7 linked regions of the Callithrix jacchus genome follow. The protein of the gene in region 5 interacts with the protein of the main gene of each other region in a pairwise test. Links are inferred from orthologs where the notes say so. Each region holds a gene or a part of one and is shown on either strand. Other genes may lie near its edges. The genes, in order: FGFR1OP2, FRMD4A, GOLGA4, SNAP91, TRAF3IP1, OLFM1 and PCNT.

Region 1 (3,500 bases), on a different chromosome or scaffold from region 5:
TGTCGAAGACAGACTGGAAGGGGGAAGAGAGACTGGAATCAGGGAGATCAGTTTGGACATTTCGGGTAAGAGACTGAGCATCTAATCTGGGGGCCAATGCAGTGGGACTGCAGAGAACGAAGCTGACTTACTTCATAGCTAACAACAGTGGTGCTAACTGGATATTGAAGGTGAGAATCTAAGAGGATGTAAGCAAGGCAGATGTTTGTATGTAGGTAATAATATAGAGCAATAAATATGGTTTAGGAATGGAGACTAGAAATGGGATTAATGTCAAAAAGTAACATATCTTGCCTTTGTTTTCTTGTTGCAATTCTCTGATTTGTCTGTTTTCTTGCTGGATTCCCATAACTAATGTGGAGCGTGGCCGATGTCTTGCAACTTCATTAAGTTCTTGAATTTCTTCCTGATACTAATGGGGAACAAAACATGTGGGATGAAAATATCTGCAAATATATATCTGATATAGAAATATATCTGAAATATACACATAAATATCTGATAAGAGCTTAGTATCCAGAATATATAAAGAACTCTTACAACTCAACAATAAACTGGAAATAACTTCCATTGTTAAAAGTGGCAAAGGATTTGAATAAATATTTATCTAAAGAAGACACAAATAGCCAATAAGCACATGAAAAGATGCTTAATTAACATAACTAGTCATTACAGGTCTGCAATTCAATATAACCCACTAGGATGATTATAATAAAGACAATAACAATTGTTGGAGAGGATGCGAAGAAAGTGGAACCTTCCATACATTGTTGATGGAATGTAAAGGGATGTAGGTCTTGGGTGTCCAATCTTCTGGCTTCCCTGGGCACGTTGAAGAAGAACTGTCAGGCCATTGCATAAAATACACTAACACTAACTACAGCTGATGAGCTTTAAAAAAAAAAAAAGTTGTGTAATGTTTTAACAAAGTCTGCAAATTTGTGTAGGGCTGCGTTCAAAGCCATCCTGTGCCATATGCAGCCAGCAAGTCACAGGATGGACAAGCTTGGTGCAGCTGCTTTGGGAAACAATGTGGCAGATCCTCAAAAACTTTAACCAAGTTATTATAGGACCCATTCATTCCACTTCTAGGTATATACCCAAGAAAACTGAAAACATATGTATGCACAGAAACTTGTACACAAATATTGACAGCAGCATATTCTTACTAGCCAGAAAGCAAAATAATCTGAATGCCTATCAGCTGATGAATGGATAAAAACAATGTGCTGTATTCCTTATGATGCAATATTTGGCAATAAACAGGAATGAAGTAGTGACACATGCTACAACAGAGATGAACCTTAAAAACATTACGTTAAGAAGCCAATCACAAAACGTCATGTATTTTATCATTCAATTCATATGAAATGTCCAGAATAGGCAAATTTATAGAGATAGAAATATTAGTCATTGCCAAAGACTGAGAAGGAAAGGGGAAACTAGAGAGACCACTGATGGATGTAAGGTTTTATGATGATGAAATGTTCTCGAATCACATAGTGGTTATACTGCATAACCTGCAAATGTGTACTAAAATCCAATGAACTGTATCCTTCATAAAGGTAAATTTTATGGTATGTGAATATCTCAATAATAATTATAGAACATGTACAAAAGAAATGCAAATGGATTTTTCATTAAGAAAATGAGAATCTTATTTTAAAATCACACTCATTTGTTTTCAAGGCATTTTCATCAGACAGTAATACATTCATTATAACACTCCTGGTTCTTTTTTTCCTTTTTTTTTTGAGACGGAGTTTCGCTCTTGTTACCAAGGCTGGAGTGCAATGGCACGGTCTGGGCTCACCACAACCTCCGCCTCCTGGGTTCAGGCAATTCTCCTGCCTCGGCCTCCAGAGTAGTTGGGATTACAGGCACGCGCCACCATGCCCAGCTAATTTTTTGTATTTTTAGTAGAGATGGGGTTTCACCATGTTGACCAAGATGGTCTTGATCTCTTGACCTCGTGATCCACCTGCCCCGGCCTCCCAAAGTGCTGGGATTACAGGCTTGAGCCACCGAGCCCAGCCAACACTCCTGGTTCTTAACTTCAGATGTCAAACTCCTTTTTTAACAACTCAATACCAGATATATGTTCACTGAAGTGCCTGAGTCTAGCTGGGCAGTTGGTTAGGGATGCAGGTAAATCTATTTAGGGCAACAAAGTTGTAAAACCAAATAAGTGAACTTGCTCCACTATTTCCAGTAGCTTTGTTAAAAATACTGTCCTAGAATTGCTTCCATGTACAAAATAGATGAGGAGAGTTGGCTATGGATATACATTTTCCCCCTCTGATTTCCACCATAATGTCAGAGATTTTACAATTTTCTTAAATGACTTGAAAATTTTTATCAGAAGGTTTAAAATAGGGTTTAAACTCCGTGGCCCTATTCTGTTATACAATAGTAAAAATAGCAAGAAGAAAGCCCTTTTTATTTATTCTTTAATTGGCAGCATTGAATAAAAAATAAGGGAGCAAGAATGGGTACAATAATTGCACAGACTATATATCAGATATTACCTTGCATCATTTTCAAAAGCTATTTTGTTGTTAAACAGCATCACCTAAGTACTTTTATAAAGAAAAATATGAACATTTCCACATTATATAAGACAGAACAAAATGTGTACCAACATTAGTAAAAGGTATTAACTGGTCTTTGTCAAATGTTTCTAGACCTAACAAATTCATTTATTTCAGACTCAAATGTGCAACTCTTGTCAGCAAAATAAGCAATCAAATCTAGGTCTAGTTTTGATCTAGAAATGTATGTCTACATATGTCACCTGAACATGACAAAATTAAAGTAAACCTGAAACACACAAGTCAAGTTACTTTAAAATTTAAGAGAACATTGAAAAAAAAAAAGATATATTAATTAGCCAGCAATACATAACTGTCAATGACTGCTTTTGTTAAACAGAAGGAACAAGAAAAATCAAACCTGTTTCATGGCTTCTACTCGCTTGTTGAGAGCTGTGGTTTGCTCAATCAGAGATTCCGCTGCATCGTCGTGATCTCTTAATCTTTCAACAAGAGCTTTAGCATCAGCAAGTGCCTTCTCAATTGTGCAACTCATTTCTAAAGAAATATCTATAATTAAAATTAAAATCAAGACTCAAAATAAAATCAACATATCACCTTATTTTAGTTTCATGTCTACACAGATATGCTCTGTAAGCCACATTTGTTACAATATGGTTTACTGCCTAGGGAGGAAAAAACATCTAAGAACACCTGTGATTTTGCTTCTGTTAGAATGGCACAAACTTGAAAGTAAATTTATAATATTACAAAAAAACTAAAACACATTTAAAAGATTTGCAGGTATAACTAGAATGTATTTAAAACACTCTGAATTTACAGTGGGAAAAAAGTACATGAATATAGTTAGTCCAAAAGTCCAACGAATGTAATGTTACACAGAAATCATGCCCTTTATGAGGGCATTCCCTATCTTGTCACTTTTGAGAAAGATCATTTGGTTCACCG
Region 2 (3,500 bases), on a different chromosome or scaffold from region 5:
AACGTCTATGACACTTTGGAGCGGACACAATGAAGAACATGGAATAAGAACCAGGCCAAAGGCCTGGAAGGAGAACTCACCCAGTCTGCCAGGTTAGGATGTGGTGGGGGCTACTTGGGGGGGTGGCTCCAATTTCACTTGAGGGTGTTGAACTTCTCTGGCTTTGAGGTAAGGCAGCTGGATGCAGATGGTGCAACAAAGGCAAAGAGAAGACAGGGATCAGACACAGGCAAAGGGGCTTGTGACTTGCTGGCCAACACCAACCCAGCGGCCAGAGGTCACCCTGTCCAGGAATGCTGGAAAGGACCCCATGTCAGGGTCTCAGCCTCCCTACGGCAAGGTCACAGTGGGGAACCATCTCTGCATGCTCCACCACCCCCCTCCCCTGCAACCTCTGCATTTTCTCGTCACTACCATGCACCTTCCTTCTGAGCCAAGCTGACCTGGGATCCTAGGTCCCCAGTTTGCCATCAGAGAGTGGCCATAGGGATGGTGACAGCTTCTGCAGCAGCAAAGAACCTGATGTCCTCATGTCCTTTGAGAGGACACCTGAGCAGGGCTCATATAGGAAGAGCCTGTTTCTCTGGCCTCAGGGCATTTTCAGTGTGGCCCTGTTTCTCTCCATTGTGAAGACAGTGCACCCAGAAAGATTCTTAAAGCCTGCTCTCTCTGCTGTTTCAGGCTTATCATTGCTACTGTAGTGCGTTTTGAAAAAAGCAGGACTTTTAGTAGCTAATCCAAACCTGACTGGTAGGCATTTACTGATGCAGGCAGATTTAGTAGGAAGTCAGTCCTACTTAAATGCATCCTTTGCTTTCTTGGGAATGGAATCTTTTCCATCAGTAAACTTCAGATACAGCTTCTTAAAAGTTTTACTCTAAAGTATGTTCCAAAAGATCTCCCTAATCTCTTTACATAAAGCAAATCTACTAGACAAGCGCTGCAATTTTGATAGAACATCAACACTCCAGTTTGGCGGAGGTATTTACAAATTGCTGGTTCTTTATCTAATAGGGTCACAGATGAGTGTGCTCAAGATGTTCCTGGGGAGGCAATGGCGAATTTCACTGTGCTGTTTTACAGATGAAGGAGGAATATAAAGAAGGTTCCAGGACCTTGAAGTCCATGGAACTCCCCACGACTGCCTGATCTCTGGAGCTTGTCATTTGGCCAACAACAGGGATATGGGGACAGAAGGCAGGAGCCTGGCTCACTTGGGCAGTCAGCTTCTGCCTCTTTCCCTGCTGTCTCCAGGTACTGAGAATGTCCTACAGTTCCCCCAGGATGAACCCCACATTACCTTTCAGGTCACTCTCTTTCCCCTGATCTTTGTCAAATTCCTGACTCAGAGCTCCTCCCATTGGCTTCTGACTCTCATTTTATCCTTAGTGTTAACCATTTCTGTTCTCTTCATTCTCCCTTTCTGTGAGTGCTAGAGTATGTAAATATGCCAGTGCTGAGACCAGAGCGCAAGGCAACTGCTCAGGGTTGGTCATCACTGTTATTGTTATTAAATGTAGCCTCATTAGGGAATGGTTGGTTGGTTTCTTTCTTTTTTTTACTTGATTCAATACTGCACAATGCTGTTGCTCACAAGAATATAAGGTCAACCTTAACCTTAGATTATGGAAATTTTCAGGCATAATATCCAGGATATTGAAGACGCTTAACTAAAATTAGTTTGTGGCTACGCTGTAACATTGTCACTGAAATGGGAAGCCAGGAGCAGTCAGGAGTTCTGTGACATGCACGGCTCTGGCCCTCTGTTTATCAGCCAGTCTGCCCCTACGTGGGGAGACACTGGCCCAATCTCTAGGATTGACCCAAGCGCATCCCCAACCAGCTTCCTTTGCAAGCCACAGCTGTGGGCTCTCACTTCCTGGCATCCTCTCCTTACTAGGGTAAAGGCGCACCTTTGGTTGGATAAAGCCGGAGACATTACTTAACTTTCTTGGATGGAAGAGATGGTTTAGACCTTGACTAAGCTGGCTTAGTGCCCTCTGGAGGGTCAGGGTGCAATTAGGAAGGGGAGTCAGCACATGCCTCAAGTCTCCCGCAGCTGACAGCAGCGTTCCCGGAGTGAATGACTGACTCTGGTTCCTCACTGCACCCAGATGTAAGGGTACCTCCCGGCAGTAGCCCTGAACACCAGCAGTTCGCACCCAGGCCTTCCCGAACGCGCCCGGCCTCCCCCTCACCTGACGTGGCCTTGCACATCTGAGGCATCCTGGTGACCCTGCTGTGCGCCACAAAGGTGCTCTGGGAGGAGGTGCTGTACTGCGAGCCGCTGTCCGAGGAGGTGGAGCTGGTGTGCGACAGGCGGCTGTGCTCCTTGTGTGAAGCGGTGGAACGCTGGTACCACTGGCGCAGCTCGTCCGACACCGCGGCGCGACCCGCGCCCTTGTCGTGGGAGCCCTCGCGGCCCAGTGATGGAGTCCGCAGGATCTGAGATCGCGATGGCGTCAGGCGGCCCGTGTCGCCCTCGTCACCGCCGCTGCCGCCACCGCGCCAGCTCTCCTTGAACAGGCCACCCGCCGTGTAGGAGTTGGAGGTCTTGAACTGGGCCTTGACACTGTAGTGGCCCTCCTGGTCACTCTCCAGGCTGCGCACCACCACGGGCGTGGCGCCACCCTCGATGTACAGCGGGTACTCCTTGATGCGGTACTGCGAGCTGGGCTGGCTCTGGCTGTGCAGGTACACGCCGCCGCCTGTGCCCCCTGCGCCCCCCACGCCCCCGCGTGCAGCCAGGTTGGGCATGCTGCCCGAGCTGGCTGAGCCCAGCGCGCCCGCTGCCCGCTGTCGCTGCCGCTGCCGCTGGCGCGCCTTGGACGGCGAGTCCTCGGCCAGCGTGGAGTAGTTGGCGTTCATCTGCGCTGGGTAGTAGTGCTCCGAGCTCGAGTGGCTGGTGCACGACGAGCAGTCGTCCATGGGGTCCGAGCCGTTGCTGCTACGAGTCCGCGGGGTATAGAAGTCGGGGCTCCCGGTGTCGTTCTCCGAGCCCAGGAGCTTGCCCTGGGACTCCAGGCTGGAGCTTCGGTGCCTAAAGTGCAGTGCGAGGCTGTGCAGTCGCGTGGGGCTGATGTCCACCGACCTGCCAGGAGACGCCCAGGTTGGTCTGGGGGTGGGAGGTGGGGGGGTGGGCCCGGGGAGGAAGGGGTCCCAGGTAGGGCAATGGGGGCCTCCACGCGGGCTCAGACCCCAGCCCAGCAAGCCAAAGTCTCCCTCAGCAGGGCTGTCCCGGGGATCCGGTAACTGCCTGCTGTTTCCACATGAATGGAATTGTCCTTTGTGGGAGGCGAAGTTAGGGTCTCCACCTTGATTCCCAGTGGGACCGAAGCTAGGACACTCACAGAAGGATTTCCATTTCTGAGGCTTTTTTTTTTTTTTTTTTTTTTTTTTTTTTTTAAGTGGAAATGATTCTGTAGACACAAGGAGAACCACAGAATCATGACTCCAGTATCATGTTAAACCAGCCACCTGGGCACGGTGGCTCAGGCCTG
Region 3 (3,500 bases), on a different chromosome or scaffold from region 5:
GCAATGCATTAGTGGCATATTCTAATGGCAACATAACATTAATAGAGTAAGTACTTTCAAATAACTTTCCACTAAATATAAAAGATTTGGCTTCTGCATTCCATTTTTTCCCATTTTTTTTCTCCTCAGACCAATACAACCTCCACATATTGGGTGGAGATGGAATAAAGTTAACTGGCCCTCCCAGAAAGATCCCAGCTAAGTTAAGCAGCCACATTTAAACACAAACTCACTATCCCACTACTTAGACTTCTTCACCTAAGCACAGGCCTTGATTCTTAGTCCGGTTCTCTCACACTTCCATCAGAAGCTGTAAGGCAGACGGGAAAGAATCTATTCTCCCTTTTAGTAACTGCTGTTGCTTCAATACTATCAAGGGGACTGTGCTGCCTGGTTAGTAGAATCCGATCAGGAAATTTCAATCCTGAAAGAAATCAATTTGACTCTATAAATCTGCATATAATATAAAATAATTAATTTGAATAATATTAAGCCCAAAAAAACTCTTTTCAACCAAAAAAAAAACCACACTGGAAAAGGAAATTTTTGGCAGTACCATGAAATCTATTACAGCTAAATTTCTAAAGTGAGAGAGAGAAAATAAGGTGCATACATCAAGAATTTCTTCATATTTTTTGGCTGTTCGTTTAAGATCATCATCTTTCTCAGCAATTTTTTTAAGTAACTGATTTGTCTCTTCTTGATGGCTCTCTAAAAGTTCAGCCTCCACCTCCTGGGCCTTATCTATTAAATAAAAATGGACACACACAAGAAAACACATTAGTCAAGAGTGAATATTTATATCTCAATTTTAGTTAACAACTCTCATTCCGATTAATTTTGATGAAATTTAATTTTATATAAGCATTGTAAGATGTTCAATGAGACAGCTAGCTCAACACTGATCAAATGTCTCCCTGAGCAAAAGCGTCTTTTCTTTTTTTTTGAGACGGACTCTCACTCTGGACCCAGGCTGGAGTGCAATGGCATGATCTCCACTCAGTGCAACCTCCGCCTCCCAGGTTCAAGTGATTCTCTTGCCGCAGCCTCCTGAGTAGCTGGGACTACAGGTGCGTGCCACTGCACTCAGCTAATTTTTGTATTTTTAGTAGATATGGGGTTTCAACATCTTGGCCAGGCTGGTCTCGAACTTCTGACCTCATGATCCACCCGCCTCAGCCTCCCAAAGTGCTAGGATTACAGGCGGGAGCCACCGTGCCCAGCCCAAAAGTGTCTTTATAAAGTAATTAATGAGCTAATTCTTTCAGATTCATTTACTTACTCCCCCTCCTCTCCTTAAGGTAAGTCATTGCCAGGCAGAGCAAGTTCCCATTAGAGAATGTTCTGGGGCAAAAAATTACTTCTCCTCCAGTTTAATGACTTAATGCACTTACCACAAGTGCAAAAATAATAAGCTTAAATTATAGCCTCTGCTGATATAATTGTTCCTTATGGAAATCAAACTTTTACAACTTTTACTTACTGATAGTTTCTTTTATGGTCATTTCCAGCTCTTGTTCCTTTTGTGCCAGCTGAGTATTAAACTCCCTCATCAGCTGTTTTAATGTGGAATTGTGCTTCAGTTCAAGATCTTCCTGCTCCTGTCTGAGTAACAAAAATGTACAGTTAACTGCTGCCACACAAAGAAGAAGCTGCAAAGAGCTACCTGATCTTCAAAATAGTGCATACAGTGTGAGTTCACTGTATGAAAACATTTTTCAGAGAGGGAGAGAGAGAGAGAGAGAGAGAGAGAGAGAGAGAGAGAGAGAGAGAGAATGTGTGTGTGTAAGGACATATCAACTATGATCACCTGTAAGGAGTGGTCCTGGGGACCAGAGAATTTGTTTTCCACTTTAAATTTTTTTCAAAACACATCTATGTTATATAATAATAATGCTAATACTAAAAACAATTAAACAGAAAGAAAATAATTACCTCAATATGACCCTAATAACCAGAATCTTATATGGAAGAAAAGGTTTTTCTCCCCTAAATGGCCATGGAATAACACTGTCATTTGTCCTAAATTGTTTTTATTTCTCCTCATACTTAATGTATTGGATTTATGTTTAATATTTTGCGTTGGCGAGACTTGCCCAAATAATTTTAAATTACTCTATTAGGCACACAAAAAAAGGAGACTTAATTAAGAAGGACCACCATAAAAATATTCATGCTGAAATAAAACTTACTTGATTTTCTCTTCCCTTTCTTGTTCATATTCTTTCTTTAGTATTTCCAATTCTTGCTGATGCTCCTTTCTCAACATTCGAAGGTCCTTCTGCAATCTAACAATCTCCTTGCCCAGTTTCTGTTTCTCCCGTTCTGCCCCTGCTAATTTAAACTCCAGGTCATTGTGCTGGCCTTCCATGTTACTAAGCAATTTGGATTGGACCAAATGTAATTTGGATTTTTCTTCAGTGTTTTCCTCCAAAAGTTCTGTGGGTTTATTTTTTCCATCCATCTGTTGTTGTAAAGCCTGTAATTTTTCATATTTTGAGGTCAACTCTTCCATTTCAACTCCATGTACTTCTTTCTGTCTTACTAAGCAGGAATCCAGCTCTTTTATCTTTTGCTCCAAGATCTGACAGGTTAGTTCCTTCTCCTGGAGGGTTTTCTGGACATCGTCAACCACATTTTCCAAGTTTTGCTTTGCCTCTGTGTTATTTTTACCTCTCCCTTCTTCCACATGTTGGGATACTATCAAGGAATATTTCTTGTTTTTTTCGTTAAGTTCTTCTTGAAGATGATCTGTCATAACTTGTTCTTCACGTTGCTTTGCTTCATCATGTTCGAGCTTCATTAAGAGCTCCTGGTATTTGCACTGCATTTCAGAATGAGAAGAAAGTGTCTCTTCTTTTTCTTGCTCCAGCCTCTGCAACAGCTTTTCTTTTTCAGTTAAATTTCTTTGTAAAACACTGATTTCTTCTTCATACATCTTCTGCACACAGTCTTGGGAATCTGCTTCTTCTTCTTCAGTACATGCTGCCGCATTTTTTGATGATCTGGGTACAATTAATGTTTCGGACTGTGAACTTTTCACTGATATCAGTTTTTCTTCCAAGATGTGAACTTCCCTTTCTCTTTCCTGCAATTTTGCATTTAGCTCACTCAAATGGCTTTCTGTGTCTTTTTTATACTGTTCTTCTTTCTCTTCCATTTGAGATAATAGCTGCTTTTTAATGGCAGCAATTTTGTGTTCAGCTTTTTTCTTCAACTCTGCTAATTTTGCAGCACTCTCTGACTCAAGCCTATCTTCCAATGCCTTTAACTCCTCTTCTTTGCTTTTCAAGCTTAAATTCGCATGTTCTAATTCTTTCTTCTTAGTTTCAACTTCGGCTTTCATGGAATCAACTTGCTTTTCAAGCGTTAAGACCTTTTCTTCAGCTTCTTTAACCCTGCTGTCCTTTTCTTCTCCTAACTGTTGAAAATGTTCAAGTTTCTGAACCAATTCTTTGTTTTCAATATCCTTTTGTTGACTGTAATTTTTAAGAACTTCA
Region 4 (3,500 bases), on a different chromosome or scaffold from region 5:
TAAAAAAAATACACCAAAAAGGCTGTTGGATCCAAATTATATTTCTGAGAAATGGCGCCTGTTCACATGGCTAAACATCAGTTGTCCCAACAGGTAAGCTAATGGGCCAAAATTTGGAATAAAGAAATTTCCATAGTAGTTTGATTTTTAAAAGCATATTTTTATGCTTTTTTAAATTTTAAGTGACTATTCTCACTCATAGGCGGGTGATGAAAAATGAGAACACATGGACACAGGGAGGGGAGTACTAAACACTGGGGTCTATAGCGGGGAAAAGGGGAGGGCCAGTGTGGGGCGGGGGGAGCTGGGGAGGGATAGCCTGGGGAGAAATGCCAAATGTGGGTGAAGGGGCGAAGGAAGCAAAACACACTGCCATATGTGTACCTATGCAATTGTCTTGCATGTTCTGCACATGTACCCCAAAACCTAAAATGCAATAAAAAATTAAAAAAAATTTTTTATAAGATTCATTTAAAAATAAAAACTAAGTTCTAAAGTTACAGTGAAAGCTAATATTGTTGAATGCTCCTTCTGTGACAAGTACTATGCTGGTCATCACTACACTACAAGAAAGGTACTATCTCTAACTTGTTTAAAATGATAAAAATGTGAAAATCATGTAAACTTTCTTATTTCTTTTTTTTTTTTAACTTTAAGTTCCGGATGGATACATGTGTAGAATGTTCTGGTTTGTTACGTAGGTATACATGTGCCATGGTGGTTTGCTGCACCTATCAACCTGTCATCTAAGTTTTTGTTGTTGTTGTTATTGTTGTTTTTGAGAGAGAGTCTTGCTCTGTTGCCCAGGCTAGAATGCAGTGGCACAGTCTCGGCTCACTGCAACCTCTGCCTTCTGGGTTCAAGTGATTCTTCTGCCTCAGCCTCCTGATTAGCTGGGATTACAGACGTGTGCCACCATGCCAGCTAATTTTTCTATTTTTAGTAGAAACAGGGTTTCACCATGTTGGCCAGGCTGGTCTTGAACTCCTGACCTCGTGATCAACCCGCCTTGGCCTCTCAAAGTGCTGGGATTACAGGTGTGAGCCACCATGCCTGGCCCATCATCTACGTTTTAAGCCCCACAAGCATTAAGTATTTGTCCTAATGCTCTCCCTCTCTTACCCCAGGGAGTACATTTTTATAATTAATACAAAGGCACCATATAGGGCCTGATGGTCATCTTTTGATGATTAGACAGCACTTTTGCCTCAACAAAATATCTGTAACTGCAGCATTTCATAGCAATTGAAAAGTCACCTTTGCTGGAGCAGTGGGGAGAAATCTAATAAAGAAATTTCTAAGCAAAATAGTAAAAATTATAAGACTTCAAGAAATTGAAGTACACTTTTATAATATGTAATTGAGAAATAATGGTTACCTTCTATTTGCATTTGCCCAGTAGATACCCAGTCATGGTTGAAGATGATGCTAAATTGTAACAGATATGTGTTCATTCATTTGACTAAGCAAAAAATAAAATAAAATTGTTTTCTCAATCTTGTTAGATAAGATTAAGCCAATCTTGTTTGATAAGGTGAAGCATATTTGAATTCTGTATAGCTAGACAATAAAATATAAACTCTAAAATTCTATTAGACTATTTGGATGGTCTCATTTCCAAGGACCATGGCCACTCTGATTTCTGTAAATTTCTCTTGGGGGTTATAGGTTCTAACACACAATTTTTACTTCAGGGGACATACTGTAATGATAGCATTTTTTCCCCTGTTGGTGTAGAGCAACAAATTTTAGCAAATTCACTTTAGTAAATTTAATTTAAATTGTGCATGTAAGATTTGGCATTTCTACAGGTTGGTGATGAACCCCGTCAGCTGAAAGAATATAGAGAATTTTTAAAATCCTCATCTTTGGTTCCATAATAGAGTGTTTTATTTTCTTCATAATAAATTCATGTTGCAGAGCACAAATACGTGTTTTTGTTTTTGTTTTTTTTTTTGGTTTTTTTTTTTTTTTTGAGATGGAGTTTCGCTTTTGTTACCCAGGCTGGAGTGCAATGGCGCGATCTCGGCTCACGGCAACCTCCGCCTCCTGGGTTCAGGCAATTCTCCTGCCTCAGCCTCCCGAGTAGCTGAGATTACAGGCACGTGCCACCATGCCCAGCTAATTTTTGTATTTTTAGTAGAGACGGGGTTTCACCATGTTGACCAGGATGGTCTCGATCTCTTGACCTCGTGATCCACCCGCCTTGGCCTCCCAAAGTGCTGGGATTACAGGCTTGAGCCACCGCGCCCAGCCATAAGTGTGTGTTTTATGTCTGTATATTTTAGACATGGGAAAACTGTTTCTTTTTGTACATGCTTAAAGTGAAATTTCTACTTTTTTGAGATATATGGGATTACTACCAGAATTTGTTAGAATTAAAATTATTTACCAACACATATTGGAAAGCTAATCAATATTATGTGATCATATGATTCTGATATCTTCATGTATAAGGTTAACTATAGTACAAGTAGTTTTGTGACCTGTTTTCTTGTTAATAAAATCTAGTGTATATGTCTATAGGTGAAACTTGGTCTAAAGGATCTATAAGGTGACTTCTAGCTTGAAAGTTCCACAATAATAGGTAGTGCATTTATTTTTTAATTACAAATGGTGTAGAAGATACATAAAGCTAAGGTTTTTTTAGTTACTGCCTTATGTGGCTTGGACATTGGTATGGTTGCGTGTTTCAACTTTAGCTCTTATTTATTCATATGCTGCCAATGTAATGGACATCGGTAGACCTTTTAGGAGAGGGTGAGTAAAGCTTTGTTTTTAAACTTCCATTTTGAGTGACTTCTGTGTGTAACAACTGTCCTCATTTTGACCATTTGGAGTCTGGTATATCTTTCGTCTTTTCCTTCTCTTCCATTTTCTCTCTGTCTCTGGTAAAATATAGATTCTTTGGCTGCACTCTCCTCTGTTCCCTCTGAAGCACAGATTTCAGACCCATTTGCACCAGAACCTACCCCTCCTACTACAAGTGCTGAAATTGCAACTGCCTCAGCTTCTGCCTCTACTACTACAACTGTTACTGCTGTCACTGCTGAAGTGGATCTCTTTGGAGGTTAGTTAGTCTCGCCACTATTTTTGTTTCCTTTCAGGATTGCAAAAATTACTTGAGAGTTAAGGTGTTTAAAATTGTTAACATTATATAACAGCATGCCAGAGTGTTTAAGTACTTTTTCAATGTTCATTCATGTATATTTATCTTCACTAAATTTATCAACTTTCTCTTCACTTAATTTTAGTACTTTTATAGCCGAGGTTGCAGTGCATCAGGCCCATTTGATTTTCAGGTTTATTAACATTAGAATTCAAATTGCTACCAGAACTCCTGCCTTTATGTTCCTGCTCTCCAGTGTCTGTGTAAAAGTGGTACCAGAGCTCTCTGTCACCTTTAGGTTTATTTAGTTTTTGGCCAGCTTAAAATTAGCCCAGAGAATATTTGGGGAATGTGGGAGGAGCAATACTGGCCTAAGTTATTTCTTAATATT
Region 5 (3,500 bases):
TCCTGCCATCCTACCTTTCTTTGGATTTCTTGCACAGGACTCTGGACCTTATGCGGACTTTCTTCCATCTGGTATGTGTGTCCAACTCTTCTGTAAGCCTTCTGATCCCCATCTAGGTGTGATTCCTCCAGGAAGGGCTCCTGCCACCCCTTCCCCTCCTGGATTGTGGACTAGGTACCAAACCTAAGTTCTTCCTTAGTATCTGGATGGTGTCATCTTTACCCGTCTGTCCATACAGCCACACTAAATTCTGTGAGGACCTGGCTGGCTTCTGCCCTGTACACACGCGTAGTAGATATCAAGTATTTCTTGAGTAAGTGGATGGGTCTGGGCTGCCAGTCAATTCTGACATCTCCCAGGTGTGGAGTTCAGTGGATGAGGCGGATGAGGAGGCTGTCCCTGAGGTGACAGTGGTGGCCTTTTTTTTCTCTCTTGAAGGTGATTAGAATGACTGGTTTCATGAAGGGCCTCTACACAGACACCGAGATGAAGTCTGATAACGTGAAGGTAGGTTGGAGTCGGGTGTCTCCTGTTGACCCCTTGCTTACTGGATGGGACTTTTTGTCATCCAGGTGGTGTGGTGTGTCATTTCTGTGCTGCATGTGGGTGGAATACAAGGTCGGTGAATTCATGAATTGATGTATATCCCCTTTCTCATTGTGGCAACTGCGTGTCATGCTAGTTTTATTCACTGAAAAGTGGAATTGGTATTTCAAAGCTTAATGCTAGCCCGTCAACTAAATTAAAGGCTTTACTGAATTGATTTTGTTTTGCCAGTGAAGATCAGTATTTCTAGATTTGTTATATATCTAAAAATAGCTTTGTATGTAAACAGAAACTATCCTGTGCCTGTTGAACCTGCTGAAGATAATGCAAACTCTTCAAAGTATTATAATATTTGTATTTTCAATGGAAATATTTCAGGATAAAGATGCAAAAATCAGCTTCCTGCAGAAAGCCATAGACGTGGTTGTAATGGTTTCAGGAGAGCCACTGTTGGCAAAGCCAGCCCGAATTGTGGCCGGGCATGAACCTGAGAGAACAAATGAGCTGCTCCAGATAATTGGAAAATGCTGTCTCAACAAGGTACTACTACTGCCGTCCTGGCATTTTGAACTTAGTGCTTGAGTAACAAGCAGTCGGGGGTGAGGGACTCAAATGTGCGGACGGTTTAAGGAAGGACTTTCAAAGGCGTCTGTCAAACGCTGTGCTTTGAATCTGATCCTACTCCTTCTGGAGCCCTAGAGATCCAGGAGGAGGAATTTAAAACTGAACAAAACAAGTAAGTGTTTGTTATATATAAGTTCTGCAAGCTTTCAATATAAAATTGGGAATGCTGCAGGCACTCTGTGCCCAGCTGGCAGCTGGAGGCTGCAGGCCCAGGCTTCCATGTCCTCTGGCTTTCTCTTTTTTGGGGCTCCCTTGAGGACAGGTAGCTGCTTCCAGCCAGGGCTGGAGTATCGCAGATGTGCTTTTTTTCTTGTGGAGGTCTCTGTTCTCTTCCTGCGATGTTTGCTTACCTGTCATTCTTCCTCTCTCTTCTCTACTCTTTCTCTCTCTCTCTCCCAGTTGCTGTTTCAATTGTACAGGGAGTAGATTTGTTCTTTCCTGAGCTTGTCACAGTGGGCTGGAAACTTGGGTGTCAGGCCTCAGGCTTCTCTGGTTAGGTCCAGCCTGGGCCATGTTTGCCCGAGCATTGGAGAAGGTCTTCCCCCACCGTCTTCCTTCTATTGAAGGCCAAGTAGTCGTCCTTGGAGGAGCAGGTTGGGCTTGTACTCAGAGTACAGTTAATACAGTTTTCCACATACCTAGTGGGTGGTTGGCTGGGGGCTAATCTTAAATGTGATGCACATGGGAACAGGTGGGTTTCAGCCCCCTCAACGGCAGTGGGTCATGGAGGTGTGTAGGGGTGTCCAGCCAACTTCTGGGAGGCCTCGCCCTAGTGCAGGTCCAGCATGTAAGCTTAGAGACTTGGAAGCAGATTTTGCCGGTACACTGGCCTCTGTCCCCAGGCTCCCCAGATCCCCTTCCCGGGTCCTTTATGTTGCTCTTCTTTCTGAAAAGCACATCTGACTCCTGTGTCCTCTGCTGAATCTTCTCCACTTCCAGTAGCCTCAGGGTCAGGCCAGCTCCATGGCATGGCTTGTGAGGCTCCTAGAGACCTGCTGCTACTTTTTCCCCTCAGGTCCTTCTCTCATTTCCCACACCGGAGCCCTCCACTCCAGTCACACACACCATGGCATTCAGCCCTGGCCCACTGTCTCCCATCAGTCTCGTGCCCTGGTGCTTACTGGCTTGTTAGTGCCTGAGCTGCCTTCCTCCTCCAGCCTCATTGAGCAGCAGTGTGGCATCTATGAGCGCTGCCTTGAGCCCAGGCCTCTCCTCCCTCCCAGGCTGACTTGGGTGCCCCTGTAGGCTTCCTACAGGCTGTTGTTTCATTGTTATGTCTGTCTGTGTCCCCAGTACATAGTGAGTCATTGGCCCATGGAGCCTGGCACGTGGCAGTCACTTAGCGTGTGCTTGTGGAATGAGTGTGTGAGTGAGTGGGACTCCTGACTGGAGGTGTCATAGACTCTGGATGGCTGTCAGGGATACGTTTTGCATTTGACGGGGCTTGAATTAGATCAGATTCCCCCCCCCAATAATTTTATTATTGTGTTAAAATCCATGTAACATAAAATGTAACACATGCACACGAATGTTCATTGCAGCACTGTTTACAATAGCAAAGACCTGGAACCAACCCAAATGCTCATCGATGATAGACTGAACTGGGAAAATGTGGCACATATACACCATGGAGTATTATGCAGCAATCAAAACCGATGAGTTCATGTCCTTTGTAGGGACATGGATGAATCTGGAGAACATCATTCTCAGCAAACTGACACAAGAACAGAAAATGAAATACCACATGTTCTCACTCATAGGCGGGTGATGAACAATGAGAACACATGGACACAGGGAGGGGAGCATCACACACTGGGGTCTGTTGGGGGGAATAGGAGAGGGACAGCGGTGGGGGGAGTTGGGGAGGGATAGCATGGGGAGAAATGCCAGATGTGGGTGAAGGGGAGGAAGGCAGCAAATCACACTGCCACGTGTGTACCTATGCAACTATCTTGCATGTTCCGCACATGTACCCCAAAACCTAAAATGCAACTAAAAAAAAAATGTATCATGCTAACCATGTTGAAGTGTACACTTCAGTGGTGGGAAATTCATTCATCAAGTTGTGCAGCCATCACCGCTTCCATCTCCAGGATGCTTCGTCTTGCAAAACAGACTCTGTCCCCATGAAACACTCACTTCCTCTTCTCCCAGCCCCCGACCCCTGGCAACCTCCATTCTGTTTTCTGTCTCTGTGAATCTGACTACTCTGGCGGACCTCAGTTAAGTGGAACATGGAGTATTTGTCTTTTTCTTTGACTGGCTTATTTTACTTAATATATTTGACTTAATTTCACTTTATGTGCAGTCTGAGTTCTCCCGGTTTACCC
Region 6 (4,016 bases), on a different chromosome or scaffold from region 5:
TGCAAGCTAGTCAAGCCTTGGTGCTGGTGTGAGCACACAGGCATGGATGTACACACACACACACACACACACACACACACACACTCCATGCAGACTCACCTTCTCCAATAGCTGCCTCAGCTGTTTTGTGCGGGCATCCCGTGAACACATGGTCTGCTGTGGGGCAACCACTGTGCAGATACACCTGCCCTCGCTGTCCTGGGCAGAGCTGTACACCTGCCAGCTCTCCTCAGGGTTGGTGGGCAGCACCTGGAGAGGGCAGGGGTGGGGAGGAAGAGAAAGGGAGACCATGAGGTTGTGCATCAGAGCCAACAACCAGGGGAAACTGTCCACATCCAGTCCCAGGGAAAAGGCAGAAGGAAATGGCCCCAAGACATGTTTGACCCAAAGGGGAGAAAGGGCCCCTGGGAACAAAAAGGCACAGGTCTCCCATTAGGGGGCCCAAGGCTAAAAGGAAGTCAAAGAGGCAGGACCCTTTACGTTCTTAAAATTCAGGTTCAATTCAAGGGATGTCTAGAGTTTGTCATCTGGCCAAATTGATCTGCTGGGTGGGTGGGAGGGGCAACTAGAGGCCACCGGCTGGACGAGGAGCAAGGCAGGAAAGCAAATGCCTGGTGGCTTGCGGAGGGCACGTATTTCAGAAACAGGATATCCTTCCCGTAAGTCATGCATGGGTAGCTGGCACCACCAAGCCTTGCCCTGACATTCCCTAACACTCACAGATGAAGTGTTCACTGTAACAGCCCCAGCTCCAGCAGCCTATTTGCCCAGAGCAGTGATGAACCACGAACCACCACAACCTCCCTGCCAGCAGCTTGGCAAAGACTGACCCAAGAAAACACTAGGTTTCCCATTCCATGTGGGTTCCACCCACGAGCCATTTGGTGGATGTCACCAAATTGCTGGTGACATGTTGTGCAGGGGTCACCCCAACCCCAGTCCTGAGGTTTGCCCAAAGACCACCAAGAAACCAGGGCTGCCCATGTCTGGTGTAACCTTGCAATCCAGCCCTGCCAGGTGCTGGGGCGGGCACTCCGGAGCAAACCCGCTCCACCCTGCTGCTGGCCCCACTGTTTCCAAGCACACTCCCCGCCGGTGGCTTCAGGTCACCTCTCTGCTATTTTTAGCATGAAGATGGGAAGAGAAGTTGGGCGGGGAGAATCTATAGTAGTCATATCTTTAATCTCATTCATTCCCGACTGCACAAGATCGGGCCGGCGGCTGGAACAAAGTCATCATGGAGGAGTCGCCCTTCCATTCCTGAAGGAGCAGGGGGTGTTTTCAAGAGGGGTCTTAGGAGGGAGCCACACCACAGAGCCCTCTTTGCAGAGCACCTAACCTCTGGCAGCAAAAAGGGAGAGGGAGGGAGACTCACGTCCTTCACCTCTCCTTTCAGCCTAAAGGGGCAGTGGTCTGGGGTGCGTGTTCGCAGCGGCAGCCCCTTCCACGCTCGGCCTTCCGGGTGGGTGGTTTCGGCTCAACCTCGCTCAGTCATCTAACTCAGAACAGCCCTGGCCACGGTTCCCCCTCCCACTAAGCTCGGGAGGGAGACCCGATTTCAATTTCAGAGGCCAGGAGGGAGGGGTGCGCGCGGAAGACGGAGGCAAAGGCGACGGGGTGAGCAGCACCCAAGGGCAGGCCCCCAGGGGCCCCGCCCCAGACCCTCGGCACCGTTCTCCGAGGGGAAGGGACGAATCCTTCATGGGGCTGGGGAGGAAAGGGCGTCTTGGGAGTTTGGGAACGCAGGCGCGGGCAGCAGCTCCGGGGGCCCACCGGCGGGGCCCCACTCCCAATCAGGTAGGGCCAGTCTGGCTTTTACAAACTAGGGCGGGCTCAGAGTCCCAGCTGGACAGAGCCCAGACTGAGGTCTAGCGGCGGCTCCACCCCTCACTTGCTGAGTGTGACCTTGGACAGGCCCCCAAGTCCCCAGCCTTAGTTTCTTAACCTTTCAATGAGGGGCTCACAATTCGTGACCCAGGACTCCAAGCCTCCGCGGCCCAGCAGGCTCCCCGGACCCCGCTGCGAGGGGCTCAGGCGAAGGAAACGCCGCCCTAGGGGCGCGCGGGCGGAGACGGAGTGGCCCAGGCTGGGGGCGTGGGGAGCAGGGTCTTCACCGCTGCGCCGGCGCGCGACCCCGGTCATTGCCCACCCTGATCCCCGCCGCCTTCCAGGGCGACTCAGGTCCCGCGCGGCGCCGGCCCAGCCCCGGGCTCAGGACCGAAGCGGGGGAGGGGAGGGGAGGGGAGGAGGAGGAGGAGGAGGAGGAGGAGGAGGAGGAGGAGGAGGAGGAGGAGGAGGGAGGAGGGGGGGCCGAGCCAAGGCGGCCGGCGGGCGCACTTACGCCGGTGCTGCGGTCCAGCGTCCCGCCGCCGGCCGCCGAGAGCTTGGTGGTGTTGAGGCCCACCAGTGAGGGCAGCGTCTGGGACATCCAGTTGGTGATCATGGCCATGGTGCTCAGCACGACCCCGATCTTGAGCAGCGGCACCGACATCGCGCCTGGAGCCGCCTCCAGCGCCCGCTCCGAGCTGGCACCGGCTCCCGCGCCCGGGCGGCCTTCAGGCGGCGGGCACCGCGGCGGGCAGGGGCGCCCGGCTGTGTCCCCGCGCCCCCTCGGCCCGCCGCCGCCCGCCCGCCGCCGCCGCCGCACCGCGCGCCCTGGCCATCGCCGCTCCTTCCCCGGGCGCCAGGGAGGGTGGCCAGGCGGCCGCTGCCCGCCGCGCCCCAAGCCCCGCGCCGCCTGCCCGCCCCGCCGAGTCCCTCCGCGATTCGCCGCCGCCACCGGGAAGCGCCGCTCGGCTCTGAGCGCTGCGCGGGCTGCGCGCGGGGGCCGCGGCCGGGAGGCGGGGCTCGATAGGGCGGGGCCGACGCAATCCGCCCAGGAAATGGGTGGGTTTTTCCTGCACGCGCGGCTCCCCGCCGCCCCCTGGCGCCGGCAGCGAGATCTGCAGACTCCGATCCGCCCAGGAGTTGGGATCGGGGTGACTTGAGGAGACGAACGCGCCCCCGCCCCCGGCTCAGAAAATACCCCGCGGCGGCGGCGCGGGGACCCCAGCTGGGGGCACGGACCGCGCCCTCCCGCGCCGGGCTCCCCCCACCCCACGCCGCGGCCCCTCTCTGATCCCCGAAGAGGGCGCGCTCTGGGGCAAAGGTTGCCCGCGGGGAGACGGCCCCGTCCTGCCTACCGCGGCCCCTTTCCGCGGTGGTTCGAGGGGCCCAGCCAGACTGGGCCGTCGCCTGAAACCGGGCCGGCTCCAAAAGCAGCTGGACTCCCGAGAGTCTCCAGTGCCAGCGGAGTCGGACATCGCTGCAGAGGGAAAAGCGCCCTGCGAGCCCTGGGCGGCCGCGGGGCCCTGAGGCCTCGGGGGAAGGAAGGGCCGGACCCGCACTCCCGGCACCAGCGCTGCTGGGGGTGGCCCGCGGAGCTCAGAGATGCGCCCAGGAGGGCGCACGTGGGGCAGGACCCGCGCAGGGCCTGGGCCTCCGCAGCTAAGAAGGCCACGCCCAGGGGCGTGGTGTGGGGCGGTGGGCGTGGGGGGCGGGGACTGCCGTCTGTGATGGGGGCGTGGGTGTGTGGGGCGGGGACTGGGGTCCGTGGTGGGGGGTGTGTGTGGGGCGGGGACTGGGGTCCGTGATGGGGGCGTGGGTGTGTGGGGCGGGGACTAGGGTCCGTGGTGAGGGGCGGTGGGTGAGTGGGGCGGGGTCTGGAGTCCGTGGTGGGGCGGAGTCTGAGGTCAGTGATTGGGGGCGTGGGTGGGTGGGGCAGGGTGTGTGAGGCAGACATTGGGGGCCGTGGTGGGGGTTGTGGGTGGGTGGGGGGTGTCCTCACTGGCTCCCCGCGCCCCTCTCGGGGGTGGGGCTCGAGTCCTGGCCCCCAGGCTCGGCTGGCGCAGCTGCCCGTCTCCCCGGCCCTCTCGGTGACCGCGGCGTCGGTGACCGCGGCGGGACTCGCGCGCGTATAGGTCCCCACTCCCCCGGAAGCGCAGGCCTGACAGGGTCCGCAGGTTAATAGGCCTTTT
Region 7 (3,500 bases), on a different chromosome or scaffold from region 5:
GTGGCCACAACGGCGAGACTCCTGCCAGTGTCCGGGGAAGGTGGATGCCACGCACCTCAGCTGGAGGACCTCCTGCTGCACCTCGTGTAAGGCGCTGGACAGCCGCTCGCTCTCCTGCCTGCACTCGCAGAGCTGAGACTTCAAGTCCCACACTGCATTCTGCTCAGCCGCCAGGAGCTTCTGCAGACCGCTTGCTTTCTCTTCCTCTTCTCTCAGTGTCTTCTGTAAGTCGCCTGCAATGGACTTCTCCTGCTCTACTTTATAGGTCAGCAGTTCAACTGAGAAAGACGAAAGAACAGAAATACAGGCCCCGTGAGCACCCCATGCTGCACGCGTGACACAGGTTAGAGACAGACTTGTCGGGGCACGGGCTGAATCCACTTTGGGAAGAAAGGAGGTTCTGTGGACTAGAAGCTTTTGTTGTGGGTGGAGCAGGACGCTCATTTCTGCCATCTGGGCCACTTCCTTCTGGGCCCACGCTCCTGGTGGGGAGCCCACGGAGCACAGGAGTGATGTGTCCCTGTGGCCGTCCTGAAATGCCACCCCAGCCCCATTCACACCCTAAACTGCCTCCAATAGAGGCAACTCCAGGCCCAGGTGGCTTTACTGGAAAATTCTTCCAAAACTTAAAAGAACCCCAATTCTAGACAATGGAGGGGATACTTCCCAAACCCCCATGGGGTTGGCGCTACCTAGCATCAAGCAGAAAAAGGCACAAGAGAAAGGAATCCAGAGATCAGCGCCCCTCTCCACAGAAAGGAAACTGAGACCAGCGCCCGCCCCCAGCCCAGAGACCATGAAGGGAAGGACAAGGGCGCTGGACAAAGGCCGTGGCCTCAACTGCAAGGCTTTTCCCCTTGACAGAATCCAAAACTAGGAACAGAGGGCACTTGCCTGAGCTGAACAAAGGTGCCTGACCCCACATGCACGGGCACAAGACCAGGTCCTGCCCCCAAAACTGAGAGCAGAGAAGGGCATCTGCCCATGCAGCTGGTGGCACAGCACTCAAGAGAAATGGCGGGAAATGAAAAATCAATCATTACTTACCCACGATGATGGGAGTGTTTACATAAAAACTCCCAAAGGACCTGAACTCAATGTAGAAACCTACAAGACATTCCTAACTCTAGTGCAAGCTCCCCAAACTCTGCCAGCACTCAGAGCCCAACACAGACCCCTCCTGCCCACACCAGGCCTGGCCATGAGGCCTCCATGCCCTGGCCCCTCCCAGCTCTGCCTGTCTCCAGGGCCCTTTCTGCTCCCTTCTATCAGCTGCCAACTGTAGCGACACTTGGGGGCCCAACAAGATGATAGCCTGTCACCACCTCTGCCCCAAGGCCACACAGGTGAGCATCAGGTGGGCAGGGGCAGGGCCCCACAGGCAACGTGAACAGTGGCACCCACCCTGCCTGCGCAGCTGGTGCTCCTGCTGGCTCCCACACGCCTCCGCGCTGGTCAGTGCCATGCGCAAGTGCTGCAGCTTCTCCTGGTTCTGCAGGTGTGTCATGCGCAGCTGGGCACGCAGAGCCTGGATCTCAGACAACAGGCTGCTCCGGTCCAGCAGGCGAAGATGCTCCAGTGACTTTTCCTGCAGGTCTCCCTGGGGGCAGAGGGGGAAAAGCCTGAGCCCCAGGTGGCTGCCGCATGCCCCAGCCTTCCAAGCCTGCTGAGTCTAGAGAGGGTGCACAATAGCCCCTGGGCCTCAGCTCAGGCCTGTGGGCATCAGGGCTGGGCCATGCTACCCTACATGAAGCCTGCAAGCTGGTTACTCTCAACACTGGGTCTCCTCACGTGTACAATGGCGGCAACAGGATTTCTAGTGTCCCCACAGCACCAACGCCACCCAGCTCTGCACACAGAGAACCTCACCACCCAGGAGGGGCTACTTGGAACATGGAATGTCTCGAGCTGCTAATCTCGAAACAGAGTAAGGTAGTGAGGGTGGATCACATGCACAGCTGTCCTCATCAGAGCTGCAGACGGAAAATCATAGCAGCCCACGTGGACTGAGCGTGACCACCTGGGGCACAGCCACATTCCAGCGGTGGAGAGAAACACACAAACAAAATTCAGATATAAAACAGTCCGTATAACCCACTCTGCCAGGGCTGGACTCCTGGGGTAAACTGAGGCCTGGTGGCACAGCTGTCCCTCACCTGCTCACAGATGACCTTCTCCAGCCTTTCAAGCAGGGAGCTGCGACACCCCGGATCCGAGCCCCCGAGTTGGGGCTGCAGCTCAACCCCCTGCATCTGCTGCTCTTTTTCAAATGCCTCCTGCACAACCTGCAGAAACTCCCCACTCCAGTCAGGGCACGTGCTGGGCAGGTCCTAAAGTGTGAAGGAGCAAACAGTCCTCACAAGTGCACCTGCAGGTGTCATGAGGACTGCATGCTCGCCCCCCAAAGTTCCCAGTGTGACTGCATTTGCAGATGGGGCCTGTGGGAGATGATTCAGAGTAAACGAGGCCTCGTAAGAAGAAGAGATGCCAGAGCTCGCTCACTCTCCACCATGTGAGGCCATAGCAGGGCAGCGCTGTCTGCAAACCAGCACCCAGCCCTGTGGCACCTGATTCCAGAACAGATGAAATCAAGGTCTGCCATTTACACCCCTGCACTGGGGTGTTCTGTTATGGCAGCTGAGCAGATGGACACCCATTCAAACAGAAATGACCCTGACAGAAGAGAAGATTACACACTGCCCAGGGCCATGTGGGGCACCAGAAGCAAACGCTGCCATCATGAGAAGAGAAGAGGCGAAAAAACGATACAGTAAGGTCAGGAAAACATCAGCAAAGCTCCTTCTTTCTTTTCCTGCTGCTGCACCTTCGAGGCCCAGAGCCTAGAGGGGTCTAAGGCTACAAGGGGCTGCCCAGTGGTCCCCGGGGCGGCATGCAGCACCAATGAGCCTCCTGAGTGCCAGCCAGGCTGCTGCTTGCACATGACAAGGGGCTGCCCAGTGGTCCCCGGGGCGGCAAGCAGCACCAATGAGCCTCCTGAGTGCCAGCCAGGCTGCTGCTTGCACATGACAAGGGCCTGCTGGAGGGGCAGGCAGCGGCAGATGGGGCTGACCCACCAGCTCTCCAGGGTACCAGCATGTCGTGCGAGTCCCAGGCACAGGGGACAAGTCCGTCCCTGCCTCACGAAGCTCTAATCCTGGTCAGAGGCAGACGCAGGGGCAAGATGGGGCGGGCATGGAAGATGGGAGGAAGCATGACAGGGCTCAGCACCCACCCCACAAACTCTGCAGGCCCTGGGGCTGGAGGGAGAAAAGCAGAAAGATGGGCAGGGATTGGGGAGAAGTGGGACAGGGGAGGGGCAGGCAGCACAGAGATGAGGCCCTGAGGTCCAGTTGCCGAGGCCTGGGGTGTGGAAGGGGAGGTAGGAGAGGCCCATTGGAAGGAACAAGGCCAGGGGGCGTCACCAGAGGGACAGGAGGAGGGGCCTTGGGGCCAAGTGGTGGGATGGGCTGAGTCCTCAGGCCACATGGCCAAGAGAGAGC

Evidence for each region.
Region 1: the proteins of TRAF3IP1 (region 5) and FGFR1OP2 interact in a two-hybrid assay, tested with the Homo sapiens proteins (2 studies listed by IntAct). The link is inferred for Callithrix jacchus from reciprocal best matches to the Homo sapiens genes TRAF3IP1 and FGFR1OP2.
Region 2: the proteins of TRAF3IP1 (region 5) and FRMD4A interact in a two-hybrid assay, tested with the Homo sapiens proteins (2 studies listed by BioGRID and IntAct). The link is inferred for Callithrix jacchus from reciprocal best matches to the Homo sapiens genes TRAF3IP1 and FRMD4A.
Region 3: the proteins of TRAF3IP1 (region 5) and GOLGA4 interact in a two-hybrid assay, tested with the Homo sapiens proteins (2 studies listed by BioGRID and IntAct). The link is inferred for Callithrix jacchus from reciprocal best matches to the Homo sapiens genes TRAF3IP1 and GOLGA4.
Region 4: the proteins of TRAF3IP1 (region 5) and SNAP91 interact in a two-hybrid assay, tested with the Homo sapiens proteins (2 studies listed by BioGRID and IntAct). The link is inferred for Callithrix jacchus from reciprocal best matches to the Homo sapiens genes TRAF3IP1 and SNAP91.
Region 6: the proteins of TRAF3IP1 (region 5) and OLFM1 interact in a two-hybrid assay, tested with the Homo sapiens proteins (2 studies listed by BioGRID and IntAct). The link is inferred for Callithrix jacchus from reciprocal best matches to the Homo sapiens genes TRAF3IP1 and OLFM1.
Region 7: the proteins of TRAF3IP1 (region 5) and PCNT interact in a two-hybrid assay, tested with the Homo sapiens proteins (2 studies listed by BioGRID and IntAct). The link is inferred for Callithrix jacchus from reciprocal best matches to the Homo sapiens genes TRAF3IP1 and PCNT.

Annotation. Positions count from the first base shown.
Region 1 is NC_133510.1:44,293,204-44,296,703, forward strand, and holds part of FGFR1OP2 (FGFR1 oncogene partner 2), read right to left. Parts: intron 3,102-3,500; exon of another isoform or gene 3,090-3,101; coding exon 2,953-3,089; intron 413-2,952; coding exon 295-412; intron 1-294. UniProt on the Homo sapiens protein: May be involved in wound healing pathway.
Region 2 is NC_133508.1:14,621,283-14,624,782, forward strand, and holds part of FRMD4A (FERM domain-containing protein 4A), read right to left. Parts: intron 3,110-3,500; exon of another isoform or gene 3,092-3,109; coding exon 2,199-3,091; exon of another isoform or gene 1,015-2,198; intron 178-1,014; coding exon 81-177; exon of another isoform or gene 1-80. UniProt on the Homo sapiens protein: Scaffolding protein that regulates epithelial cell polarity by connecting ARF6 activation with the PAR3 complex. Plays a redundant role with FRMD4B in epithelial polarization. May regulate MAPT secretion by activating ARF6-signaling.
Region 3 is NC_133518.1:75,183,729-75,187,228, reverse strand, and holds part of GOLGA4 (golgin subfamily A member 4), read right to left. Parts: coding exon 2,193-3,500; intron 1,606-2,192; coding exon 1,484-1,605; intron 745-1,483; coding exon 614-744; intron 1-613. UniProt on the Homo sapiens protein: Involved in vesicular trafficking at the Golgi apparatus level. May play a role in delivery of transport vesicles containing GPI-linked proteins from the trans-Golgi network through its interaction with MACF1. Involved in endosome-to-Golgi trafficking.
Region 4 is NC_133505.1:89,164,806-89,168,305, reverse strand, and holds part of SNAP91 (clathrin coat assembly protein AP180), read left to right. Parts: intron 1-2,745; coding exon 2,746-2,760; intron 2,761-2,902; coding exon 2,903-3,070; intron 3,071-3,500. UniProt on the Homo sapiens protein: Adaptins are components of the adapter complexes which link clathrin to receptors in coated vesicles. Clathrin-associated protein complexes are believed to interact with the cytoplasmic tails of membrane proteins, leading to their selection and concentration.
Region 5 is NC_133507.1:159,646,508-159,650,007, forward strand, and holds part of TRAF3IP1 (TRAF3-interacting protein 1), read left to right. Parts: intron 1-438; coding exon 439-507; intron 508-924; coding exon 925-1,086; intron 1,087-3,500.
Region 6 is NC_133502.1:183,617,287-183,621,302, reverse strand, and holds the start of OLFM1 (noelin), read right to left. Parts: upstream 2,801-4,016; 5' UTR 2,492-2,800; coding exon 2,342-2,491; intron 250-2,341; coding exon 100-249; intron 1-99. UniProt on the Homo sapiens protein: Contributes to the regulation of axonal growth in the embryonic and adult central nervous system by inhibiting interactions between RTN4R and LINGO1. Inhibits RTN4R-mediated axon growth cone collapse.
Region 7 is NC_133522.1:52,009,974-52,013,473, reverse strand, and holds part of PCNT (pericentrin), read right to left. Parts: intron 2,331-3,500; coding exon 2,157-2,330; intron 1,601-2,156; coding exon 1,405-1,600; intron 279-1,404; coding exon 56-278; intron 1-55. UniProt on the Homo sapiens protein: Integral component of the filamentous matrix of the centrosome involved in the initial establishment of organized microtubule arrays in both mitosis and meiosis. Plays a role, together with DISC1, in the microtubule network formation.